Oryza sativa Japonica Group: one gene and its partner. The protein of the gene in region 1 interacts with the protein of each later gene in a pairwise test. Links are inferred from orthologs where the notes say so. Each region holds a gene or a part of one and is shown in the gene's direction. Other genes may lie near its edges.

The links. The genes of interacting proteins can lie anywhere in the genome.
Region 2: the proteins of transcription factor PCF5 (region 1) and MADS-box transcription factor 27-like interact in binary tests that used the Arabidopsis thaliana proteins (3 or more experiments, as listed by UniProt). The link is inferred for Oryza sativa Japonica Group from reciprocal best matches to the Arabidopsis thaliana genes TCP4 and AGL21.

What each region holds. Positions count from the first base shown.
Region 1 is NC_089035.1:6,229,211-6,237,820, reverse strand, and holds transcription factor PCF5, read left to right. Parts: upstream 1-3,639; 5' UTR 3,640-3,973; intron 3,974-3,980; exon of another isoform or gene 3,981-4,080; 5' UTR 4,081-4,414; coding exon 4,415-5,791; 3' UTR 5,792-5,893; intron 5,894-6,007; 3' UTR 6,008-6,461; downstream 6,462-8,610. UniProt on the Arabidopsis thaliana protein: Transcription factor playing a pivotal role in the control of morphogenesis of shoot organs by negatively regulating the expression of boundary-specific genes such as CUC genes, probably through the induction of miRNA (e.g. miR164).
Region 2 is NC_089038.1:23,537,924-23,545,388, forward strand, and holds the end of MADS-box transcription factor 27-like, read left to right. Parts: intron 1-2,014; exon of another isoform or gene 2,015-2,308; intron 2,309-2,379; exon of another isoform or gene 2,380-2,470; intron 2,471-2,546; exon of another isoform or gene 2,547-3,171; coding exon 3,172-3,233; exon of another isoform or gene 3,234-3,249; intron 3,250-3,688; coding exon of another isoform or gene 3,689-3,746; exon of another isoform or gene 3,747-3,895; intron 3,896-3,963; coding exon 3,964-4,063; intron 4,064-4,147; coding exon 4,148-4,189; intron 4,190-4,265; coding exon 4,266-4,349; intron 4,350-4,426; coding exon 4,427-4,581; intron 4,582-4,668; coding exon 4,669-4,687; 3' UTR 4,688-4,894; downstream 4,895-7,465. UniProt on the Arabidopsis thaliana protein: Probable transcription factor.

The sequences.
Region 1 (8,610 bases):
GGGAGTAACAGTAGCAAGTACTCGTACTCTGCCTTTTCCTTTCCTTGATGAAAGAAAGAATTGATTGCCTCTGTAATTAGGTGTAATTAACACCTTCTCTACGTCGTTAGTGCACGGTTTGGTTGATTTGACTGGGCACTAAGGACTGGACTTATTTTTATCATCTTTCCGACAGAAATTCTTTGGCAATGAATTGTCCTTTGCAAAAATGTCACTCCAGTGTTTGTACTACTACCACTACTTTTCCCATAAAACTGTACAAGTAAATAAGCTTGTCCATGTACGAGCCGAGTACGAGCCATCTTGACTGAAACCCGGTTTTGCAGACCTGTGCTGAGTATCACCCGGTTTTGCAAAAAAAATCAGGGTTTAGTTCCCTTCAAACTTTTAAAAATTTCGTCATATCAAATATTTGGACACATGCATTGAGTATTAAATGTGGACGAAAAAAAGCAATTGCATAGTTTGCATGTAAATTGTGAGATGAATCTTTTAAGCCTAATTACACCATGATTTGACAATGTGATGCTACCGTAAACATTTGCTAATGACGGATTAATTAGGCTTAATAAATTTGTCTCGCAGTTTACAGGCGGAATCTGTAATTTGTTTTATTATTAGTCTACGTTTAATACTTCACATGTGTGTTTATATACTTTAAAAAAAAATTGGCACACGAAGTAAACACGCCGTAGATACTCGTTGCAGATCAACTTGGATGTATAATATAGTAGTAGTAGTAGGGAGTATATCACTGTGAATAAAAAAAAATTACTACTCCTATGTGAGTTTTCTGGACAGCCAGCGATCACGTGAGCCACTGAGCCAGCCGGACCCGTACACATTCAGAGACAGAGGGCCCAATGCAGCAGCCAGCCAGCAGCAGCAGTAGGGGGAGTACTACGTAGCAATAACCATCTCGATCATGTGGCAAGGACAGGGTGTTGGGGATTTTAATGCTGAGTTTTTCATTCCACTGGAATGTCCCTTGTCTGGCCGGAGAGGAGAGAGAGAGAAACAACAACACCACATGATGATACAGAAGGGGGAAACAAACACCCAACCATAGCAGCGTAGTAGCATGCATGCATGCTGCAGCAGCGGCAAAGCGAGATCCTGATCGAGTTGTTTATTAATCTCCTCGTTTAATTAGCTGTAGAGCTACACGCATTAATGCCACCTATGCCATCGAGGAGCAAACTGATGAGCAAGTGCATCTCTCTGTTCCAGTGATCGATCGGCCATATGCATGTGTGTGTGGGATGAAAAGGCCACGTCTCTTTCGGCAAAGCAATTAAAGGCTGCCCCCGGAGGAGGCCAAAAGTTGTAAGAGATCACACCACAGGGACAGCACTGCACACATGCATTGGCAGGCAAGGCAGGGAGGGAGGGAGAGTGTGTGCGCGCGCGAGAGAGATTTATTGGTCGTGTGTGCACAGAGTTGGTGTGTTCCACGGATCTCGCGCGGCGGGACGGGACGGCAACGGAACGGAGAAGGGGGCTCTCGCTAGCTCTTGCTTGTTGGCTTCTTATGCACAGCCAAAATTTTAAAAAAAATTTGCGGGAAAACAAATAATTTTACAATTAAAGCTTGATTTTATATTTGATTTTGGGTTCTGTCATCGTAGTCTATTTTTAAGACTTGTTATTAATTTAAACGGTAAACAATACTCACTCCGTCCCATAACATTCTCTTAGCTAAGACTATAACTTATAGGTTGTTTTTTTGGATGGATGGAGTACATACATAACATTCTTACCTATAAATTATATTTTTTTTATCTTGTTTATTTTTTTTCACGCCTTATCAGATGCATCTCAATTGATCCGAACAAACAAAGCTAGAGAACTAATCGCTTTATTTTTTTTTCTATACTTCTGGTCATGAAAACATGTTATGCGGTACTGATAGTGTACATAATTTTTTTTAAAAAAATACTAAGTACTTGTGGCTGAGAAAAATCTGTGGTGAAAGAAGTTTTTTTTTCTTTATTCCTTTAGGGTGTACAGTAGAAGTGAGTCAAGTGACATCCATTTTGTAACTTTGATGGAGTGTGTATTACTCTCTGAAATGGATGAAGTGGTACATTTCGCATGCATTACATGTCCTTTCAATATAATTGCCTCTTTAACTATGACAAATCAATCTATCTTCAGTTAAGACATCCAACTATGTACTCCATACTGTACATGTCATTTCCAAACTCTGTTCATGTCTAGCAGGTTCAAAACTTCACCACATGTGTGGGCTCGGCATGATTGGGTAGCTGGTTAATTGCTCTTAGCTATAGTTATGATCATGTCTCACCACCAGACTTCTTGAACCATCGTACAACATTATAAATTGGCCTTTTCATTCTCATATAGGGCTGAATTATGTTTTTAGCATTCTTCCCTTTGAGATGTACTACGGCTTACCCATAGCAGCCATGAAATTGAGCACTCCAACTAAGCAGAAGAACTAGGGAAATCTCTCTCTCTCTCTCTCTCTCTCTCTCTCTCTCTCAAAAAAAAAAGAATAAGAAGAATAAAAACTAGGGAAATACTCCCTCCGTTTCAGTTTATAAAACAACTTTGGTCAAAGTCAAACTGTTTCAAGTTTAAATAAGTTTATAGACAAATATAGTAATGTTTATAATACTAAATTAGTTTCATCAAATCAATAATTGAATATATTTTTAGAATAAATTTGTCTTTGGTTCAAAATGTTACTACCTTTTTCTATAAATTTGGTCAAACTTAAAACAGTTTGACTTTGACTAAAGTTAAAACGTCTTATAACCTGAAACGGAGGAAGTACAAGTTTACACTATCCTGTATGTAGATGTGCCAATGAGGGGTGTTTCCTTCTATCTTTTTTGAACAAATCTATGGGCACCATCTCGGTCCCTCGACCCGTTATGTTTTTGGCATCAAATGAACTAAAAATAGCTTGATCTTATTTCCATGCAATGGATCAAACTTGGGGCAAGTTTGGACAATGACGCCACATAAAACCCTCTTTTAGCAAGGTGGGGCTACAAATAAAACACACCATCAATCTATAAACAAGTATCTCAGGGGAAAGGTCTCACATTTGAAACTAATATTGCAACTCTCGACTTTCCAAAAAGGAAAATCATTAACCATTGGCATATACCCTTGAAAAAGCTCCAGTTGCCATCTTACTTGCCTATGCAACTGCCCAACTACAAGAATTATAGTACAAGCACTCTCTAAGAATACCACAAGTTAGCTTCTGAAGAGCATAGATATTCATGTCATGACAAACATGTCTACTGTACAACAAAAAAGAAAAATCGGCTAAGTAGATCACTCCACAATTGTGCGAGTAGATACTAGCGGTTACATATACACGAACGTATATATAAACATAGTTAAAATTGCTATATATTACCATAAAGCTATCGAGATGCGCTTAATTCCTTATCCATGGAGACTAGGGTGTGTGCCTCCGGTTTTTATTTTTTTTCCCAAAGGCACGTACACGTGTGTGTGTTCGAGTTTCATCGCGATTCGATCGTTGTCTACTGTTTTTTAATAATACAACAGATGTCCTAATCATCCACGCATGCATAACCCACAATCCCCCAGCATCATCCATCCCTTCCCAATTCCCAAATCACCACCTCTCTTCATCACTTGGGCTCCAGCCTCCTGCAGCCCCAGCCAAGCTAAGGTAAGCTCCATCTGCTTCTGATACACACACTCACACACAAAGCAGCAGCCAGCATCAGCAGCAGCAGTGTGAAGCAAAAATCTCTATCTCTCTCTCTCCTCACTAAAGCACAAATCCTACTCTTATCATCCTGTCTTCTTGCCTCCCTTCTGCCTCCTGCTCACCAAGCTTCCCACACAAACCCAACAAGAGAGTGAGAGAGGAGCAAAAGCTTTGGCTGGCCGTCCCCCCTGTTAAAATGTGATGTCCAATCCATGGGATTGCGTCTAGTTTAGTCCCCCACTCCTCTCCTGGGTCAGTCCCTCCCTGGCCACCACCTCTTCTTCTTGCAGCCTCCTCCTCCTCCGGGGCCTTCTTCTTGTTGATTCTTTTGATGGTTTTTGTGTTTCTTGTCGACCTAGTTATGGGATCCGGCGAGGTGGATGGACGCGCATTGGAGCAGCAACAGTAGCGGCGGGGAAGAAGGCGGCGGGGGATCTGGATCCGAGGCACCACCACCACCGGGTCACCCACGGCGGCGACGGCGGCGGCGTAGGAGGAGGAGGAAGCGGGGGACAGGAGGAGGCAGATGAGCAGCAGCAGCAGCAGCACGACCACCACCGGCTTCTCCAGCTCCACCACCACCAGGGTGTGCAGCAGGACCAAGAACCGCCGCCTGTTCCCGTCTTCCACCTCCAGCCGGCGTCCGTGAGGCAGCTGTCGGGCTCCTCCGCCGAGTATGCCCTTCTCTCGCCCATGGGCGACGCCGGCGGCCACTCCCACCACCACCAACACGGCTTCCAGCCTCAGCTCCTCTCCTTCGGTGGCGTCGGCCACCACCACCACCTGCATCAGTTCACGGCGCAGCCACAGCCCCCCGCCGCGTCCCACACTCGGGGTCGTGGAGGTGGAGGTGAGATTGTCCCCGCGACGACAACTCCACGGTCGAGGGGCGGAGGCGGCGGCGGCGGCGGGGAGATCGTGGCGGTGCAGGGCGGGCACATTGTGCGGTCGACAGGGCGGAAGGACCGGCACAGCAAGGTCTGCACGGCGCGCGGGCCGCGCGACCGCCGCGTGCGGCTGTCGGCGCACACCGCCATCCAGTTCTACGACGTGCAGGACCGGCTGGGCTACGACCGCCCGAGCAAGGCGGTGGACTGGCTCATCAAGAACGCCAAGGACGCCATCGACAAGCTCGACGTGCTGCCGGCGTGGCAGCCCACTGCCGGCGGCGCAGGCGCGGGCAATGCCGCCGCGCCGCCGTCCTCCTCGACCCACCCCGACTCCGCCGAGAACTCCGACGACCAGGCGCAGGCCATCACCGTCGCGCACACCGCCTTCGACTTCGCCGGCGGGGGCAGCGGCGGGACCAGCTTCCTCCCGCCGTCGCTCGACTCGGACGCCATAGCCGACACGATCAAGTCCTTCTTCCCCATGGGTGGCACCGCAGGCGGGGAGGCATCGTCGTCCACCACGGCGGCGCAGTCGTCGGCCATGGGTTTCCAGAGCTACACGCCTGACCTCCTGTCCCGCACCGGCAGCCAGAGCCAGGAGCTCCGGCTGTCGCTGCAGTCCTTACCAGACCCCATGTTCCACCACCAGCAACATCGCCATGGCGGCGGCGGCGGCGGCGGCAATGGCACCACGCAGCAGGCGCTCTTCTCCGGCGCCGCCAATTACTCGTTCGGCGGCGGAGCCATGTGGGCCACCGAGCAGCAGGCGCAGAACCAGCGCATGCTGCCGTGGAACGTGCCCGACCCCGGCGGCGGCGGCGGCGCCGCCTACCTGTTCAACGTGTCGCAGCAAGCGGCGCATATGCAGGCGGCGGCTGCGGCGCTGGGTGGCCACCAGAGCCAGTTCTTCTTCCAGAGGGGACCCCTTCAGTCCAGTAACCAGCCCTCCGAGCGAGGATGGCCGGAGACCGTCGAAGCCGACAACCAGATGAGCCACCACCAAGGAGGGCTGAGCCCCTCCGTGTCGGCGGCCATCGGTTTTGCCGCTCCCGGCATCGGCTTCTCCGGCTTCCGCCTCCCCGCGAGGATACAGGGCGACGAGGAGCACAACGGCGGCGGCGGCGGCAATGGCGACAAGCCGCCGCCGCCGTCGTCTGTCTCCTCGGCTTCTCACCACTGACCGCAGCAGTGGCGAGCAGATGACTTCACCACCACCAATCCACCATGAGCAAACACCACACCATGTACCAGACTATCAGCTAGCTCCTCCACTTCCATCACGGTGAGAAAAAAAAACCGAGAATTCTCATGGCTAACCTGCATTAGTTCAGAATTTTTCTCGTGTTAGTTAGCTGATCAATCTTGTGCTGCTGGTTTTGGTGTTCTTGACATGCAGGAATTGTCGATTGCATTCGGGAGGAGCAAAGTTTGGAGGTAGCACAAGTGCACTACTACTGATGCTACTACATATCGGTTGGTTGGTTGGTTGGTTTTCCATCGATCTCTTCTGCTGCTGCGCATGTCATTGGTTTTTGTTTCAAGAATTCACTCGGAGCTTCTTAGAATTAGGCTTGTGAGAATGCAGCAACACGATGGCAAGCTTTAGCTTAGCTTAGCAAGCCTCTGTGTCTGTTGGCTGTTGCGTTGCGCTAGGTGTAGTTGATCGATGTAGGTTCGAGCTTGCTTTGCTTTGTTTTGATTTTTACTCTTTTGTTGCTGATGCATGGACATGCTTTTGCTTCCTCCTGTGGGTTCAGGAGCAGTTGCTACTAGACCGATGTTGTTCTCAAAACTGATAAGTGGGATGGTGATGGATTGGGAGAGGAGCCTATCTTTCATCTTTTCCAAAACTTGTGGCCTCTTTTCTTTATACTGTAGTGTAGGCTGGAAACAGATGGTGCATGCATGCCTGTGCAACAAATCTCCCCCGCCCTAAGTGTTTTTCTTTATGCAATCCAAGTATCTCCAGCCATCCTTATTATATCTTGGGCTTTCTTCTTTTTTCAAAGCCTTGTTTGGAACTGAGAAAAAGAGCCGCATGACAATGCTTGCTGGCCCTCATATATACCTTCCTCAAAACAACCAAAAGGTTTGGATTTAATGCATGCTTTAAGCTTTGAAAAGAATTGCCTCACTCACCTCCCCCCATGGCCGCACACACCCTCACACACACACAACTGCAATTTCCCCTCTCCCCTATATCCATGTGATTGGTTGGGTCTCTTTCCCTGCTTCTGCATCAGCAGCAGCAGGCAGCCACAGCTTTCCTTTGCACCGTGCCATGCTGCCATCTATCCCACCTATCATCACTGGGCATGGCAAGAATGCCACAAGGAAAAGGTTTTATGTGTGTGTGACATTAGTATCCTGTCTGTCTTACATGCTCTTGCATTGCCACCAGCGGCACAGTACAAGCCTTTTTTAACCATTTTACCTCAGGCTCTTCAGGCCTTGGCCTGCTGCCTGCACTCACTGATGCAGCACTCTGTGACAGATGCCAGAGAAGAGAGAGAGAGAGAGAGAGAGAGAGAGAGAGAGAGAGAGAGAGAGAGAGAGATGAGGGGTCGGCCATGATTGCTCACTTCTGCTCTCTTCTCTGATTGGCTTCCACATGGACACTACCTTAGCTTGTGTACTGTAAGTCTGTAACTTTAAGGCTGGGTAATTAGTTGTGGCCTTGTGGGGGAGGGGAAGATGAGCTTAGGCATGCATATACCATGATTTGAGCAGCTAGCTAACCCTCTCTCCTATATATCCCTCTTCTATGGGGTCGCCATTAATGACTGCTTTGCTTGTAAGATGGAAATCATGGAATGAGGCAATGAGCAATGATAGGACTAACACTGTGTACACCCACTATACTCCTACCATAGGAGTACGTTGTACAAGTGGTTATCACAAGCATGCATGCTGCCATACTTTACAGGCTTTAGGCCCTGTTTAGATGGGACTAAAACTTTTAAGTCCCTATCACATCGGATGTTTGAAAATTAATTATAAATATTAAACGTAGACTATTAATAAAACCCATCCATAATCTTGGACTAATTTGCGAGACGAATCTAATGAGCCTAATTAATCCATGATTAGCCTATGTGATGCTACAGTAAACATTCTCTAATTATAGATTAATTAGGCTTAAAAAATTTATCTCGTGAATTAGCTTTTATTTATGTAATTAGTTTTATAAGTAGTCTATATTTAATACTCTAAATTAATGTCTAAAGACAGGGACTAAAGTTAAGTCCCTGGATCTAAACACCACCTTAGTCTGGCCTCCTTTATTTGCTACTCCCTACTTGTCATGACTCATGCCATGCATGTGGAAGATATTTTTGGTGTGGATATCAGAATTACTACATGCAAATTTAACAACACGTAGTAGTATTAAGCACTTAATGTGTTCTTTTAGCTGAAAGTGTGGAAGAACATATATAATACTAGGATTTGTAGTAGCAGTATGGTAAAGGCAAGGCTTAACTTTTTTTAGTTTGGGATTGTTAAGGTTTATATCTAGAAGAGTGTATACTTGGAGAGCTCTTCTAAAGCATGTCAATATCTTGCTTTATTCTTGTGCTAGATTTATTAACCATGGTTTTTCATTTTTATTTGAAACTTCAATTTTTTGCAAGTACTCTAAACTTTGAATTCCAATATGTGGTGCAACAATGGGATTGTTGGTTATTTATGAAAATTGGTGTCGTTATAATTGTTGCCAGGAAAAAAAACGAAAGTATATATATGGAGAGTTTTTTTTAAGACTTATATAGAGTACTTTGAAACTCTTTTTGTCACTTTGTGTGTTGTGAAGTCAATAAATATACAACACTTGAAATATATGTGTTCATAAAGGTCCTCATGCTATAGTTGGTATGCAATCAATAATCAATTTACTAAATTTAGGTGAAGTCAGTCATGTTTTTGCTAAAAAATCAAATAATGTATTATTTATGTAAAAACGGTGTTTGTTGCGACGGTTCTCTGTTGTTAATGTGATAT
Region 2 (7,465 bases), on another chromosome or scaffold:
TCTACGAAATACAAAATACCTTGGTACAAGCATTTCTGTCCCTTTTTATCATCGCCACTAGGTTTCCATCCATAGACCTGCATTCTTCTAAAAGGACCATTCTGCTCATAAAAAGATCTCCATTAAGTGTGCAAACATTTTTTTCATACAGTTTTTATCAAATTCTAGGGGCAAATTGGTTTTCTAAAGACTTAATGGAGGTTTATGGATGGAAACCTAATGGCAGTGACAAAACGAGAAAAAAAACACTTGTACGATGATATTTTTCTAGAGCTCGAGCTTTCTAATGGCAACTTTTAAAATCGGTAGTTTGTCAATAACGAAACATATAATTTCTCTTGTTTTAAATGTTAGTGATGTGGTTTTTTGCATAGTAAATGTACATTGACAATGGTAAGGAATAAATATGTATTGGCCTTCTCAACTCTTAGTTGATTACACTTGAATCAAGTTTTTTTTAACAATAGAATAAAACCTAGTCTCTACAGCAACAAAGATGGTAGCCAATAACTTCAAAATAAACAACCTCATCCATTTATATGCATCCACCTACACCCCAAAATCTTCTGAGAGCTCACCTTTTCACAATGGCGAAAGCCCTTGTGCCATTGAATTGGGTTTGCCAAATCACCACTTTCGCTATCTTTCATTTTGAGAGAAAATAGAAACATTTCTAGTCTTTACCAAGGTTACCAAAATCAGGTGTTTGCTCCCCCTCTTTTGCTGTAGTGTGAGAAATAATCCCGCCTAAAACAAGTGAATCTATCTTACAACTAACAAGTCACACACGTCATCTTTCTTAAAAAAAGGGAAATAAAGAGGACAACAAATCGGGTGAGGATCCTCTACCATAATATCACTATACCATTACGGTCACTTATATGTGAGTTCCGCTTTCTTAGTGTTACACATATCAATGTCTATAATGGTAGTGTCATTATGGTAGAGGGTGTAAACCCCAACAAATCATTGTCGCGAACGCAGCTATTAGCAACTAGAATTACCCTATGTTGCCTTCCTCAAAGACTAGCATTGATTACCTTAATCGACTTTCTTGTCCCCGCATGGAGATTATATGCTTACTGCAACTGTGCAATAAGGATCGAAGCAGTCTAGGGCAGATTCGCAACCCCAGATTTTGATTCGATGATCTAGATTATGTATTAAAGAACATTTGTGTAAACCTAGATTTCTCATCATGCATTGCTAATGCAACTGCTAAGTTGTAGTTATACTAGCAACCACACCAGATCTTGGTCCCCAGTCCCCAAGCCATAAAAACTACCACACATGTAAAGGAATATCTTACCTTCTAAATTACTACCTCCATATTTTAATGTATGACGCCATTGACGTTTTGTTCAACGTTTAATCATTCGTCTTATTTAAAAAATTTATGTAATTATCATTTATTTTATTATGACCTGATTCGTTATCAAATGTTCTTTAAGCATGACATAAATATTTTCATATTTACATAAAAGTTTTGAATAAAATAAATGGTCAAACATTGGTCGAAAAGTCAACGGTGTCGTTTAAAATACGGAGGGAGTACTTTTTATCATTTAAAATTTGAGGATTTGTCCAAACGTCGAAATTGGATAATAATGGGTGACAATCAACTTTGCCATTTTGTCTTTCCAAAAAATTTTCCGTTAAAGTACGGCTGAACCATTTAAGCCCTCTCGCTTTGGTTCTTTTGAATATTTTTATTGTTTAAGCCGCTGTTTTTTAAACCTTAAGTAGTAGACTGTTAGCTTCACATAGACCAGAAAAGCTACTGTAACCTAGCTTTTAGCTTAACATAGAGTGACTTATGACCTTAAAAAATACAAACGAAAAAATATCTATTTATTTAGGTTTAAACATAAACAAAAGAGGGCCTTAATCAACAAACAGCCGGATGCTCATGCTCATGTGTCGTTGAGAGGATCCCACTCGATAATCAATTGGCTTAATAAACTCAGCTAGAGGGGTAAAATATCGATCAGTAGATCACACAGATAATAATCCCTTTTATCAGAAGCTGATTTCCTATAAGAAAAATGTAGAGCAGCCGCATCCACGATGCGCAAAACAACCAAAAGGGCAATATTCAATCCACCGAACACCCTTCAGGATAATTCGTATACAAAACTTGCAGGTACACAACTAATTATGGTCCAATTCCTAAGCTGCGTAAACGGTGGAAATGTACATACAAATTGTCAATCGAACAGTCCTCATGCCATCGAAATGCTTCTGAATTTAGTTAAAATAAAATGCTTCTGAAGAGAACCATCCCATCACAGCTCGCATACAGAACACCCTGCTTGAATTCAGAGGATAAAAACATCATTATAACAAGAAAACTAACAAAGAATCACAAGGGGCACGTACCTGTTAAATCTGTGTTAAATCCTCTTAAAAGGATCAGTACTGCATCTTTAAGTTCACATTGAACCTTTTGCTTCGGTAACAGCTGACAGATCTGTACAGATTTCAGACTAACTGCTTATCTTTCACCGCAATAAAGCTTGTACCAGGATGATATAATCATCACTTACCTGACTTGTGCACTCTGCAGATACTTTGTAGTTAATCTAGCTTGGTGGGACTTGGGAGCATTTTGTTTAGACAAACAAGTTTTTTATCTGACTTGTGCACTCTGCAGATACTTTGTAGTTAATCTAGCTTGGTGGGACTTGGAAGCATTTTGCTTAGACAAACAAGTTTTTTACCTGACTTGTGCACTCTGCAGATACTTTGTAGTTAATCTAGCTTTGGTGGGACTTGGAAGCATTTTGCTTAGACAAACAAGCTTTTTACAATAGGGGGTAACACCCCGCAAAACGAGGACTGATAATGGAGTACCAAATTCAATAGAGTTGGTAGCTCATCGTCTTATCTGGAAAAAAAAACTGTCTTCAAACTGGAAAGATAATACTACTTCCCTTATTTGTTTACAACAAATTTCTTTGTTTGCCTCTTGTTACTTCTTTTACCATACACAATAACTTCCTCAGTTCAAATAGTCTTCTTGTCTAATGTAATTGAGTTTCCTTTTTTTTAAAAAAAAACTAGTGAGTTGATAACCCAGCATGTTTCTATGGGTATACACAACATATTTATATTGCTGCTTTTGGCAAACCTGGATTCTGCATTTCTTGACTCTGTTTTCATATCCAATAGTTCTGGCAAAGGGAGGCAGCAAGCTTGAGACAACAACTGCACAGCTTGCAAGAAAATCATCGGTATGGCCATAAAACCCTGCAAGTTTTTCAATGTTCCATCAGAAAATTCCTCAAGATAGAAAAACATAAACCATCATATATCTACTACTATGAAATACATGCATCATGAACCCTTGATGATGAACTTTTTTTTTTTGTGGGGACTTGCTCATGAATCCAGCAACTGCTAGCGACAATAATACTTCCAGCACCTGATTGTATAGTAAATATAAACTAGTACCAGATCATAAAAACAAGCACCTAGTGCTTGGGTATATGATACTTAGAAAAAAGAAGAAAAAACAGAGTATGAAAGTGATATATGCTGATTCCAAATTTCCTATAGATAATGCATTGTTTAACCTTCACAAACAAAAGAAATGAAGAAGGCACGTGAATTTTCTATATCATTTAAAAGTAAGAAATATATACCTTCAGCCATTCGATTTTTATGCATTTCCGGTTATCTCTAAAAGAAAAACAGAACTGAGCACCCATCAAAGGCGGACAGACCAAATTTACAAAGGAGAGTGAATATCACATTTTCTTCACCTGTGCTTTCTGCCTGGTAAATTATTGTTCAAACACTCCATTTTGTCCTTCAGGCCTAATTTACAATACCTAAACTAGAAAGGTACAAATTATTTTTATTATCAATTAACAGCTGTCTGTTGATCAGCTAAAATTAAGTGTCAATATTCACTCTGTATATCATCAGAACAACACTATAACATCCATTGGTTGATGGCAGGCAGTTGATGGGGCAAGATCTTTCTGGATTGGGTGTCAAGGAACTGCAAACTCTAGAAAATCAGCTAGAAATGAGCATACGCTGCATCCGGACAAAAAAGGTCAACCTACTAACCATATTTTTTTGTTGGGCACCTGATTGATTATATAATGGATTAACTTAAGATCAATATTGTTGTTTTCAGGACCAGCTCATGATTGATGAAATCCACGAACTGAATCGAAAGGTTCTACAACATCATGTACAATTGCTAAATCTTTGAATCAGCTAGTAAGCTAACTCTATTGCTGGCTTATTTGCAGGGAAGTCTCATCCACCAAGAAAACATGGAACTGTACAGAAAGGTCAACCTGATTCGCCAAGAAAATGCTGAGCTGTACAAGAAGGTACTTGATAAATGCAGATAGATGATTTCACAGGATATACGCTTCATTATATGATGACAGCTAATCTCTCTCCTCAGCTCTATGAGACAGGGGCAGAAAATGAAGCGAATCGAGATTCAACAACTCCATACAACTTTGCGGTTATCGAGGAAGCCAACACTCCTGCTCGTCTTGAACTCAATCCCCCAAGCCAACAAAATGATGCTGAGCAAACCACACCTCCTAAACTAGGGTAACTCAGATTTTCTGCACATGATCCATCTATCCATTCTCAGTTCTTTAGTGAAACATCAATTATAACTTAATGAAATTATTGCAGGCTCCAATTGCATCCATGACAATTTATGGTGTGGAAGTGTTGCCTATATTTTCACTATTCTTAAGGGCTACAGTTCAGAGCTCTTAAAATGTATTGGTCATAAAGAAGCTAACACATAACAAGACACAGTTTGCATGCTTGGATGATTAATATCTGATACTGTAAAATCTATTCGAATAAAAATGTATTATCTGAAGAGCCCATGAAAATTATTTTCTTATGACTATTTGGCACTATCTGCAAGTTTGTTTACCCAAATGACAGCTACATGTGTGCAAACTTATTGGCAAAAACAAACAGTGCGCGAAGTGTAGAGCATGCAAGATCAATGCTCTGTTTTATCTTAAAAAGCCATAAGCAGACAGAAGAGATGAAAAGGCATTATAATTTATCTGTGCAGATGTACCAGAACAAGAAAAGTATCAGCAAGAGCGACGCCAGGGGGCGGAGGGGCCTGGCCTCTTCCCACCCCCTCCACCCTTCTATTCTGCTGATGGATTAGCTAGGCACTGTGCTTGCACGTATGTATGTTTAGCAAGAGCGATAAGGTCTTTACTCTAGCCTTGTAGGCACACAACACCATCTATTTCCTTTTCCTTTTAGAATACCGAGTAATATGTACTAATCATTTGTATTATTTACATCACTAGGTGGCTAACATTGAAATTTTAAATTTCTAAAATATTAGTTAATACTTGTAACAGATGGATAGTTTGTTGCTCTTTTTGCCATAATCTAGTTCTTATTTTTTGTTTATTTTTTTCCTGTTTACCTACACTTTTAGCTTGAATGGTACAATCACTGCTTATAATCTGTCTGCTCATAAGGCTAAATTAACCTGCCTGTGTTTTAAATTGTCGTGTGTTTTTTTATACTGATACGGTATATTACCTATGGGGAACATTTAGATTAGCATAAACTTTTCTACGCTATTTTTTTTATAATCTTAATCACTTATAAAGCTGGGCCCCCTCATACTTAGATCCTGGCTTCGCCACTGGGTATCAGCGTTCAATCTTTCTTAATAATTTTAGACACATGTGCTCATTAAAACTTTTCTTACTGTTCTAAGAAATGCTCGCAAATAGTACCTTTAGCAAAACTTTATACACATAAAATAATCAGAAGCACATCAATGTAATATGTCCAGAAAGTTTATAGCGAAAGAATCATTTTGTCCAGGACCCAAGAACTTGGACCTTACACCTCTAATTGTGCCTCTTAAATACCCATGCACTTTCATGTTACTAACTTATACCACCGGATAGAATGATTATTAGTTATGTATATCAGAAAAACTATTTTATACTAGGCACGAGACCTTGGGTAATAATTACATCATAACTTGTTTCAAATAATTCTTGGAATTTGTAATGTGTACTTCACTAGGTTGGGAGCGCCTAATCCCCCGAGATATGAAAATGAAATAATGCATGCAAAGACATGGAAAATTTCAAAAATAAAGTAACATTCATGAACAGTTCCAATAATAATATTAACATACTACCTCCATCCCAAAATATAACTTTTGGCTATGAATCTGGACACACAGTTGTCCAGATTCATAGCTAAAAATGCTTATATTTTGGGACGGAGGGAGTAGAGTATGATGGCATCTACAAGGAGACAAGTGTCAAAGGGAGTGAATTAATCAAGTTTTAATAGTGTGTGGGGTAGAGAAAAGAATGTTAGATACTTAGAACATAATGGATGGTAATCCAGTTTGTTGAATTTTTAAAGTTCTATGCAAACATAAATGCAGTATAGAAAGTAAAGACAAACGGTAAATACCAATTATGTACAAGACATAATGTAAATTAGATACTTAGAACATAGTAGTTTTATATAGAACGGTCCATGTGTTCATTCATATACCTTGATAGGTTGAAGGTAGATCCTTCTGAAGATTACACCAAGGACTTGGTACAACACGTTCGTAATTATACAGGTACATGACTCTCACAAGGACTCTTACATAGACTCTCACACTTAGAATTTCATAAGTCTTTTATTTAGGTTATAACTATAACTATCTACTAACACTTAGATGGAGTGAAGTGTGATGGCTGGTGGAGAGGTGAAGAGGAATGGTTGAGTGAGATGTGTTGTGGTTGTGTTCCTGAGCCCCTTATATAGGACTCGGTGAAGAATCTTTATGATATCTCCATTTGACTTTAAGGGGTTTTATGATTATCCCTTTAGACTTCACGGAGAGAATCTTTGGTGATGACGCTTTTGACCTTCAATAAAAGTATCATAATATCGCCTTTTGACTATAGGCATATCTTATCTTGAATAGTGTAGATTCCTTATCTTCAATAGTGTTTTTTGTCGAGGATAACAAGATCTTCATTCATTATCTTCACCGTATAAGTCTTCTACAGACATCTTTTACAACGTTCCTAAATCAGATTGAAGAATCTGATCTAGTGTTGCATAGATAGAATTGACAAGACCACGATCTATAATGGTTTGGAGAGGTTTGGAAAGATATTTCATCTTGGTTGTTGTTTACACCCAAATTTGGCACCTAGGGTCGAAATAGGAAAAATTGCGAAAGTTTGGGGCTCTGCCGGTTTCCTCCAGAAAGGGCCGGTCTGACCGCCATATGTGGGCCGGTCAGACCGCCGCCGGAGAGCCGGTCAGACCGGTGGCATGTGGCCGGTCTGACCGGTAGAGTCTGAGTTAGACTCCGTTTTCGTCAGGTCTCGGGTGGTTGGCGACTCCATATCACCGCAAGGCGTTTAGGTGCTGCGATCGTGCTTGTTGACTTGTCACAAAAAGTTGCTCTTGCCTT